3 linked regions of the Lepisosteus oculatus genome follow. The protein of the gene in region 1 interacts with the protein of each later gene in a pairwise test. Links are inferred from orthologs where the notes say so. Each region holds a gene or a part of one and is shown on either strand. Other genes may lie near its edges. The genes, in order: liprin-alpha-1, ccnh and receptor-type tyrosine-protein phosphatase delta.

What was found.
Region 2: the proteins of liprin-alpha-1 (region 1) and ccnh interact in binary tests that used the Homo sapiens proteins (3 or more experiments, as listed by UniProt). The link is inferred for Lepisosteus oculatus from reciprocal best matches to the Homo sapiens genes PPFIA1 and CCNH.
Region 3: the proteins of liprin-alpha-1 (region 1) and receptor-type tyrosine-protein phosphatase delta interact in a two-hybrid assay, tested with the Homo sapiens proteins (2 studies listed by BioGRID). The link is inferred for Lepisosteus oculatus from reciprocal best matches to the Homo sapiens genes PPFIA1 and PTPRD.

The regions. Positions count from the first base shown.
Region 1 is NC_090716.1:5,716,488-5,720,242, reverse strand, and holds the start of liprin-alpha-1, read right to left. Parts: upstream 2,733-3,755; 5' UTR 1,802-2,732; intron 1-1,801. UniProt on the Homo sapiens protein: May regulate the disassembly of focal adhesions. May localize receptor-like tyrosine phosphatases type 2A at specific sites on the plasma membrane, possibly regulating their interaction with the extracellular environment and their association with substrates.
Region 2 is NC_090698.1:71,955,884-71,959,638, forward strand, and holds the start of ccnh (cyclin-H), read right to left. Parts: upstream 2,898-3,755; 5' UTR 2,730-2,897; intron 2,037-2,729; 5' UTR 2,034-2,036; coding exon 1,917-2,033; intron 768-1,916; coding exon 645-767; intron 305-644; coding exon 231-304; intron 1-230. UniProt on the Homo sapiens protein: Regulates CDK7, the catalytic subunit of the CDK-activating kinase (CAK) enzymatic complex. CAK activates the cyclin-associated kinases CDK1, CDK2, CDK4 and CDK6 by threonine phosphorylation.
Region 3 is NC_090696.1:70,733,253-70,737,007, reverse strand, and holds the start of receptor-type tyrosine-protein phosphatase delta, read right to left. Parts: upstream 2,638-3,755; 5' UTR 2,492-2,637; intron 2,354-2,491; 5' UTR 2,246-2,353; intron 2,107-2,245; 5' UTR 2,070-2,106; intron 1-2,069.

The sequences.
Region 1 (3,755 bases):
CTTTTAAAATCCCTAGTTGAAGACATTCATTCAGTGCTAAAGGCACTTGCTTTTTATGGCTTGCATGTCAGAAACCATTGTGTTCAGCTCAGTGCTCCTTACAACCAAATGTCCAACACTGGGCAATTTGTCCTCAGGAAGACGTTTATGGCCATCAGATATAGAGCTCCTAATATTAAAGGCATTTAGTTTTCGTTTATCAAATGCACTGTCAAAAATAGAAATCAGAATAATATCCCTTTACAACATAGCACTTACACAAGAGTCAATCCCACTTACTTGCATGTCAACATTCTTCTATTGGTTTAATGATAGCAGCTCTTTCAACAATTTGCAGTTTAATTGTACTTAACTAAGGAGTATGGGTGTTTTTATTCAGAAAACATGTTCTGATTACAAAGATACACAGCGTGGGGCAAAGGTTAATATTATCTACTTATTAGCTATTGAACGGGTAGGTCTGAGGACACACAGACAGGAACAAAGTACACCCATAAATGTCAATCAATTTGTGAGGAAAATTAAAAAGGACAATCTATCTGGACAATACTTTTTAGGCACTTCAATATCTGTTATCAATAAGTTATTTTTTAGTTTTCCATTGACACAGAGTGCTGTATCCATTTAAACTGATAATGTGGAAGATCTGTGGTCCTGGAAATTATCTTAAATGCATTACTGACTGCATAAAGAATGCCTGGAGTGACTTAGAAATGCAGGCTTTCAAGCTTAATGTACTGGGATAATTCATGATCATTCACTTAGGACACACGCTTTAAAGAGATACATACTTCTGTCTATTGGTTGCTCAAAATGAAGTTTATGTCTTACAAATAAATCATCAGAAAGGACATCAGAGTAATAAACAGGAAAAAACCCTCTGACTTAAAATATTTGGTTCTTCTACTGGGAAGAAAATAAATTGAGCGCAGAATTTAAATAATCACGTTGGTCTTCTCTTCATAAACTCACAATGTGTCACCACAGGGAAATATTTTCAGCTCGAGCAGACTCAATGTTTACGAATTCCAACCCCCTGAAAAACAACCAAGATCCTTCCTGTGCAGTATTGGTACAGCATACGCTGGATAGAACTAAGCTGCCAATTCTCCTATTCTAATTTCGTTTTTATAAAGTATTGGCCTTTATTGTGAAAGAAAACCAATTTAAATGTAAAAAATGGAATTCAAATGAAACCAGTTTTACTGTATATTAAACTCGTTTAAAAAAAGCGGAGAGGGTCTTTTTATATAGGTACATTATTCGGTCTAAAAATGATGCTCTGCACCCTTTATGATAAAAATAAGCGGAGGCGGCTACCTGTCAGAGCAGATGTGTTCGTCTGGAGTAACAGAATGAAGGAAAAGCTGTAACAGTTTTGTGAAAAGCGCTTATTCAACAGTTTACTGTGCGCCAGTGACGCACTGTGTGTGTGTATTGATTAGTTCCATTCGCGAGCCAGAGGCCCAGTAGGTAACCAAGCAATTAAGTTTTCCACTGCCCTCTTAGAGGTGTCTGCTCATTTAAAGGCTTTGTACAGCACGATAATGGAGCTGCGTGATCTCGAAGCCTTACATAAAGAAAGCTAACTCACCTTGCATCAGACACTGTATTTGCAAATTCATAAACAATTTAAATAAATAAAAAACTTAGAAAAAGTAACCCTCTGTTGTTGCAAGTGTGCAGGCGTTACAGTCGGATGCTTAGCTAAAACAAAGGAACACTTTTCAATAGAAAACGAGGGGGTTAAGAAACCGCTGTCTCCCTCCATATTTATAAATACACAAAGAACACTGTTTACCTTGCCAGAGAGGAGGAAATATCTTCTGTCAATTCCACTTTCCCCTCTTGTATGAGCTTGTTAATACAATCCTTTATGATTATTGTTATTAGCAGCTTTTTAAAAAACGAAAAACAATATTTAAAGTGCTATCAGGTATCCTCCAAGCCATCCAACAGTAATAAATCCATCAAAGACGTAAAATAAAATATTAAACAGCTACCCAGATGGCAAAAAAGAAAATCCCAAAGGCCCGAAAGAGCGAAAGAGACTTGGATTCCCGTGACTTCCTGAATTAATGATGTATTTTAAGAACTACGAGCGCTAAAAAACAACTAAGTTACCTTATTAAGGTAAAATATAACGATCACAGCCAATCATAATAACCTCCTACAAATACCCACAGTGTTAGTGGGATAATAATATCAAACGCTCCTGGAAAACAGATGTAAACTAAGGCAATCCTGCAATTTTTATCTTCTTTAGCTGCAACCAGCGATCGGGCCCGCAACGCGTTATAATCCAGTTTCTATTAACCAGGGAGCCATCGCAAACAGCTAGGAGGACGCCGGACAGAAAACATCGAATTGGTACAGTATTTCCTCTTCGCTGCTTCTCTGTTGTCGAGGGTCTCTCCTTTCAGCCGCGTCACCAGCCCAGAAGAAAAGCAGACTCCTTTTCCAAGGGATCCGAGGAGCAGTGAGAAGCAGAGGGGATACTTGAAACTCCTTAGTCGATAAAAATCCCAATTTATCCTCAGTTCGGAAATACAGATGTCCCGGATTCCTTTGTTTCCGGGATGCCCGAGGCCGAAGTCATCCAGCGCCCGTTAATGTAACAGGGTTCAACCCCGGTTTGGTCGTCCTCTTCTGTCAGAACTACTTCTCTCCCTTTCCGTGCTGGAGCCTCGGCTCTCGTTATCTCCAGTTTCCTGTTCTCCAATAAATCACTGCGTGACGTTCCCAACGTGCACTGCGCGCTGGGAAGTATCCACTTCCAAACTGCAGCGCCCTCTGAGGTTATCCCCGGAATTAAATACGGGAATACCCCCTCCAAAATCAAGTGAAGTCAGGTAAACTGCCCCCAATTGACTACTAGTAACCAATTGAGTTAGATGGGCCTAATGGCCTGATTTTGTTTGTAACCTTTTTTTTTATTTTCTTACTAAAATCGACTAAAATGTTTATTTCCTTCCTAAAATCTGCCTCACAGTCTCACATTCATGCAGCCATTGGAGATGTACTGTATGGTCGGAGCCAAAAGGGCTTTTTTAAAATTATGCCCACATTTTTCCATATACTGTACCAGCCTCTAACCATCGTGCGTGAATAATTAAAGACTATACTGACGTTTCTTTGTCAAAGAGAAATGTGCCCACATGAGACTGAAGACAGGAAGGGTTGAAAAAGATGAAAATGTCAATCAATTGTTTAAGATGCAAGCCTTTATTTTATGGCTTTGTCTGGGGTGTGTTTTTAGCTGTTATATTCTTACATGGCCAGAAGTTATTTAATAAGAAACAATATGTTTGAAATCAATCTTTATACCATAAAGCACTCAGATTACTAATACTACTGTTTCCTGTTTCATTTAAATAATTTACCATTACCTGACCATATTGACACCCCTAGTCATTTCACTGACCCCAGCCTTTCCCCCTGCCTTGAGGGACCTATCACTCTAAATTACTGTAATTAGTCATGAACATCCTTTCTGAATAGATGGAGGTCAAAGGTTAAGCTCTCCACACCTCGTTGTGTTCTATTTTCCTTTCTTTTCCCAATTTACCAGGATAATATAACGGCCTTAAAGCCCTCTGGTGCATCCACAAAGTGACAATAACTGCAGTATGGTTGTGGGAAAGATGGGACTTCAGTTGTGCTTTTAACTGGGAGTGCATGGATTTCTGGGAAGTGCTTCATTAAAAATGTCCCGAAATACAGGCTGTGACTTTCTGATAGAAGAACATCAGAAC
Region 2 (3,755 bases), on another chromosome or scaffold:
CTGATCGTTTCTAACCCTGAAATATGAAAACAGCATTGCAGTTACCCTTAATGATTTTTCTTTATTTTTTTTCTTGTGAAAAAGTTTTTCATCATCTTTAAGCGTGAGACTTTCATATCTAATTTAAATATACGAAACAATGCAGTTTACAGTTGATGTGATATCTACTTATTACAAATTATTACAAATTGTTGAACAATACTATAGAAGGACAAATCCAAAGTACTCACATGATTATCCGTGGATGGTACTCCATTACTGAATTATTCAAGTAAAATCTCCTGAAATACATACTTGCTGTGCCCTAAGTACAAAAAACGAAAGCAATTATTAAAAAACTTTCCCGACAGACACTGTTATTAAGATGTTATAGATGAAAATCTTTAGTCACCGCTGCATTGCTAATTTATATCACACCTTAAATATTAATTTTGTAAAGGTAATGAACAAAATCTGAAACTTTAAAACAAGCTACTTGCTGGGCTGCAACACCATTTTAATATAACATTCTAACCCTATATGTTTTTTTTAAATAACTTCACTGCAGCTGTACTTCAATACAATAATTCAGCCCTGTACTGCGGCTACTGTTAGCTGAAGTACTACAGTATATTACATGGAAGTTTGGAATATGTAGGAATTACCACAACAGATTTTGGCATTGCTGGCTTAAAAAATGCACAGAAGTCCAGAAGCCTCTTCTCATAATGCTTAAATATCACATCTTCCTCCCTGGGATCCAGAAATAAGGATTCATTTATTCCAGCCTACAGACAAAACAGAACACAGATTTAGAAAGACACCGTGTAATGCAAATCAATTTGCCATTACATAGAACCTAAATCCACACATGCTGTGCTTTCAGCATCAATGAAGTACATTCTTCAAGCAAACCACAATGACATTGTTCTGCAGGTACCTGCAGCTTCATCTTCACCCAAGACAGCAACAGGCCTTTATTTAACCAGCTAATGCAGCTGAGAACAAATTCTAATTCATAATAACCTAAAAAACAAGCTTATCGCATCGCAGAAAAAGAAAATACTCAATGATTACTGACAGGTCAAATCTGTGTTAAGAAGTGCAAATATCGGGCAGAAAACATTAAATCATACAACCTAGACGGTTGTGGTTTGTAGTTTCAGCTTGTTCTGCAGGTTGTTCCACTTATGCAGAGGAAAACTGAATCAACCTGCGAGGATCTATTCTGACCTGAACACAGGCACACATTGGCTATCTTGTGCAGGCTTAACTGACGTCTTTAAGATGAATTAAATAAAAAGAAAAGCTTTACTGAGCACAGCAGGCACGTTCTTTATATTTTCATCATATTGTGGTATCATATTGAGTCTTAAACACCCAATGTAGGACTCATGGTACTGAGACTTTGGGACACGACAGGACTCAAGCTGCACCATGTGGAGAGAGGGGCATTTCTCTGAGGACATAAAGATCAATGTCAGCGACCACCTGCAGCTGGTCATAACTAGAGCAAACATGAGGAAAGTACTTTGCTCTTGGACGAAGATAATTACAAGTCATTGCAATGGCAAGTATTGAAAACCCTCAAAGACATTGACAAGTTCAACTCAGCAGATGTCTTCAGAATGAATGGTGAACCACAAAGCAGGGAGAAAACGTGGAAGCGCATTTACACCAAAAACAGTAGGAACTTCTTTACCTTCGTTAGTTCCATAGACTGTGGGAGTATAGAACAAGCTACGGTTATTAAAGCCAATACTTTGAATTAACCTGTTTGTTCCTTACAAGCTCTTTAAACAGCTGGGACTTAATGGTGCCATACAATGCTCTACAAAGATACTAAATTAAGAGCTGCCACAGGTGTTGGTGAGTTTATTTCAACGATATAATCAGATTCATTTAATACACATTTGTCATTCATAATGCATTTTTACCTTTCCACTCGCTGTGACCTTTGATACGAATTTCTTATTGGCTTGATATCTCAGCTTGTCCATCGCTTCTTCATTCTGGAAAGTCCAGTACTTTTTCTGAGAGCTGTTGTGATACATTTCCTATAAGGTATATAAACACAGTAGGCAACGGGTACGATGGAGATCGAAAAACAAACGGCAGAACAATTTTTGACTCCAACTTTGTAAAGGAGTAGCTAAAGGCAGACAATCACGGATTTAAACTTGAGAAGGTGCGTTGTTCATCACCACAGTACGTCGTTAAGGAAATAATGGCGTGTCGTATTCCTTTTAATTTACTTAAACTGAGAACTATAAGTAAAGTCCGTTAACATTTTAACTGATGTGTTCTTCCTCGTTGCCCTTGCAGACCAATAAAAACATAAAGCTTATTGACCGCTTCTCACCAAATAGCAAGAGTACAGAACTCTAGAAATATTTCAATGCCTAGATTGAAGGCATGTCAAAAAAGACCTTCAAAACAAAAAGCCCCAACAGGACAACTATTCAATGTTATCAGTTCTGCTGTACAAATTAATGCGTATCATTGCATTATATATAAATATTAATTCAACAAAGTATCATGTCCTACGTACTGGATCACTGCGATGTTAGTACTACATTTTCCATATGCATCGCTTAAAACCTTAAATTTTAATAACAATAAGCCTTATTAAAACTATCATGCGTGGAATTCATTTTAGGAAAAACACCACAGTGCATTAATTTCCGAAGACGAGAATCTTTTGTCTACTTTGCTTTCGCAGCTATAGTTAAAAATCCAAAAGCGTTTACCTTTTATAATTGTATCAATGGCGACGTGAACTTTGATTTGCGCTTCCTTTTTTAACTAACAAAAATATCAGTATAATGTTTCTAGTATAAAAAACTCAGCAACTAAACTACATCAAACCTAAGAAAAACTCCCACTAACTCGTCAGGCACAACTACAGGCAACGTTTGGGTCCTTCCAGTTATGATGACGTATTCAGTAGTACCGTAGAAATCCGAGTACAGCCGCACACCCATCTGCGCTACAAAATACTGTTTATCTTACGTTGTTTATACTGAAGAATGGGTTCTAATGTTTTTTTTAATCATGTTACAGATTTTATATGAACATATCCGGAGAGTTAACATTATTGTAATGTTACTTATCTGCTACTTTGCTTAGTTTTACCTAGATATGGAGATTTCCTGGTTATGGAGATAGTGGCCGGGGTGGAAAGTTTAGTGTTGAACAACGAATAGGTGGCGATTCCTACACAAAGGGTTGTAGGGATCTGGAACAAGCTGTCCAGCCCCGTTATCAAAGCTGATACCCTGGCTTCTGTAAAGAAACGGGTGAACTTTTCAGTCGGTTAGCTGCTGAAAACCAAATGAGCTAGAGAAGATGCATGTCCCACTCTGTTATAGCCTTATGAAATGCGAAATGGAGATTACAACAGCATGTGATGAAGAGTGAAATATACAGTTAAAACTCAGTATATTATTAGACATAATTTCCATTTCATGCATTTTATCTAGACTGTAGTATTAGTGCAAAACCATATATTTTAAGGTTGTTGACACTGCACTGCAGGGTATCATAGTTCCAAATACCAATTCAGTTATTCTCAATATACAGAGCATACTCCTGACCTGTACTGTGCTGTCCAATTTTGTGAAATTACAAAATGATCCAACGAAATGTTTTAAACTTAATAGGGGGTGGCATCGCTGCCTCTCTGCACTGGGGCCCTGGGGTGCTGTCTGTGTGGAGTTTGTATGTTCTCTGCTTGTTCGCGTGGGTCCAAAAGCATACTGGTAGGTTAATATGCA
Region 3 (3,755 bases), on another chromosome or scaffold:
GCCTTATTAGTGAATTTCTATCAGTAAGCACTGTCTTAAAGAGGCTTCCATCATTCATTTACAGAAATGCTTTCATTGAGTGGAACATATCCCCATTAAAGAAGAAGCATATCATTTTTAACCACCAAAGATTTAATTAGTGATTTTGTTTTCTTGCAAAACTTCAGTTGTTTATAATATTGTATGAAAGGTCTACTGATAGGTCCCATTTATTTTTGTAGTTGTAAACAAGCTAGCTCTGTTGCTGTATTTTAAAATACTTCTGTTTTTTAAAGTAAACGGAGCCATCTCTTTCAAGTCCTAGATTAGCATTTATTATCCACAAATGCACCTAATCCTTGAGGTAAAAACATGTATGCTAAAATCAAATTAATTTTCTTTGTAAGCTTAACAAAGATTCCTATCTGACAAATACAGTATCTTCATCACAAGGCCAGCTTGTTATATAGGTTACAGTTTCCATTTCCCTCGAGAATTACAGTACTGTACTCCAAAGGTTTTGCTAAAACATATTTGATGGAAAACAGTGTTTTCTCTAAAGTGTAAAGGGAAAACAGCTGCATAGAAACAAAACTAAAAAATAAAAAAATAAAAATAAATCACATAACGTGACTGGGAATTAGTATAGTATACTATGGTATAGTAATTAGAATTTAGCAGAGTTAACACACATGCAGAAACTATAGTTATAGCTGTTTTGAACTTAAAGGTCACAGTGTCAATAGCAGATAACATGTCTCATTAAATAATTAAATCATGATTATTTCAGAGAATCTCAAATTATAGTAAAGATTGCCACTATATACACACACACATTTGGCTTCATCAACAAGTGAGGTATGGTTATTGTAGACTTCAATCAGGTGAAAAGTGTCTCCTGTGGTGTGTGGTGTAAAAAGGAAATGTCCATTTCTGAGCTAAAGTGGCTCATTGAGCCAGAGCTCATCCTGGTTTCTGTCGCTTTAAGCAAATTAGGGAGCATGTGACTTCCCTGGATGGGATGCTGGTCCATCACATGGATACCCCCAGCAATGCTGGCTCCCGGTTATACTACTGGGTGGACTGGAGCAAATAGGGTACCTCTCTTAAGGTACAGGTACCTGTACAACAGCAGTGTCTGCAGCAGAGACTTGAACCCACAAACTGTCAACTATGAGTCCAAAGGATTACCTACTACACTACGTCACCACCTGGTGTGAGACATTGCCAAATCTAAGAATGTGAAAATGTGAAACAGTGAATTAAAAAAAATGCAATAGTTATAAGGAAACAGAAGGGGCCCCATGATTTTGCAACATTGTTTACATCTTCATCACATGAGTATACAGTAAGACACCCTCCCATGACTGAAACACAGGCTGTCAACTCACTTGGCTGGCCTGTCCAAGAGGACACACTGAGGCAAGTCCTAGAAAAGTTTCCCTACATCTACATTCTACAGTAAAGTGAAGGGCTAAAGCCTCTGGAGAAGACAAAACAACTTAAATTCAACCAAAATACTTCAGCTTTCAAAAACAAAAGCAATAGGATAGGAAAATAACAGGTTTAAGTCACAAAACTACTATTATTAAGTGCAAGACAAACCTACATTCTTTTCTTATTCCATCAGACTTGGCAATACATTTATTTTGCAGCATCAAAATAAAAAGGCTAAATTCAATTATGTTTTTTTTTTTCCAATTGTATGGACATTGAAAATAATGTATCCATTACAGAAATGGACTTTTTAGAGACAGCATATTCTATTAGTTACAGATTTACAGGAAAACATGACTATAAATATTTTATTAGATGGCATCATGATAATTAGCAGGCATTTTTATAAGAACATATTGCACCTCCAAGCCATTATCACCAACCACAATTTTAAATCAACGTTTCGAAAATGAGCCATGTATTTGCTGGATGTGGCTTAAAAATATCCCACCTCAGCAATTCCTTACAACTGAGCCAACACAAACTCATAATTGAATACTTCCCACAGTCAGTCTATGTAATGCCATTATATAGCACTAGGAACCACTGCAACTAAAAAACACAATGCAAGTACAACTCCAATAGCTACTTACTATACACCCAGTTAGATGGTTTCAAATGCCTTGGAAACTGGAATTTAACAACAAAAAAGGCAATGATAAGCAACTATTTAAGAATATACATAACAAAAACATATCAACACATACATTTATTCATGGAAACCAATATTTATATGACTTTACATAACACAATTGAAATGATTACTTACTAAGACATCCAGTATAAATCTCTTTGGAAATCCAGAGGAGTCTTATCTTTCTTCTCCCCAGTCAGAAACAGCAATGCTTTCTTATTCCAGACACAGGCCCCAAATGAACTGCAAAAGAGAATACATCACACAGGCACATCAGCCCCATTAATATATCTGGGGTTCCCCCCAAAAAGTGTAATTGTTTCAGAGAGAAGAAGTAAAATATGCATTCATTGTTAAGTTATCTGCAAGGGTAGTTGGTACCTGCTCTCTCTCTCTCTCTCTTGCTGTAGCTGGAGACAATGAGAGCGGTAATGAGAAAGACAGAAAAGTGAGAGCTAAGCTTTCTTTAGAGAGACAGTGCTGCTGTCAAATTGTACCACACACTGCTGCTGGCGATGTAAGGAGAGCGAGAGGCACAGCGAATGCGAGCAAGGGAGAGAGAGAGACCGAGCGAGAAATAGATGAGATGCTTTCACACACCTGCATTTCCTTAACGAGCCACTTGATGGCCGGCAGGAAGAGCATTTTTGCTGTTCCTTTCCCTTTGACACCGACGCTGTCGATGATTAGCAGAAGAATTAGTTGTTTCCAGATTGCTGTGTCAAGCTGCAATCCATTACAACTAGATTAGTTGCGCTGATAAAATGTAGAACACAGCACCTCGGTAGCATGTAGCTTCCGAAATGCTGACATTTAGCTGATTTTCAAGTTGCAAAAGTATTGAAGGTTCCAATCTTTGCGCTTGTTAGAAGAATGGAGAGAGAACCTGCTGGCATTAATACCTCCGGCAGCAGGGGAAACTTCATCTCAAGAAAATGACTGTTTTGCATATGTGAAAGTTTTTTTTTTCTAGTATTGTGAATGTATGTATTTGTTCTGCATTCGTGACGGCGCCACTGTGCTTACTGCTAACCAGTTAAATGCGAATAAGAAAATTAGGAGGGATGGTACCCGCAGTGTATTCTAACTACTGGATAACAAACCTGAAGATCCGCTTTCGGGCAGTACGTCTGAGATGGGTGTTTTTCAATTAAGCAAAGCCAGTTTGTGTACAGTATGTGTGTGTTTGGTGTACTGCAAAATAAGTGTAAAGCAAACACTTCATCACGAACTGTAAGATCGTAAGAATCACATCATCTGAATCGCGAAATCACGTTGTACTTGGTACAGTGTGGGCATTGTACATACGATTCAATTTGAAAAAGTGTTACTTTCGCTTACTGAATTCGTTTTTAACCGACTTTTTAAAACTGCATATCAGTCTTTTTATTTGATCCAGAAGGAAATTAATTCAATTTCAGTGAGGCTCGGCTACAAAAGTCGACCCTCACCGATCAATTTACAGACTGCCAATTTAAAGCTTTCACACAATCCTTGAGACAGAATAGTGTTTACATTTCAAAATATTCTTAAGGTAATTATTTTTGTGTATTGAGATGAGATTTTTACTAAAGAATTAATGATACAGGTTCCTTATTTAATTGTATAGCATCTTGTCAATTAGTATTTCGCCCTAGTTTGCTCA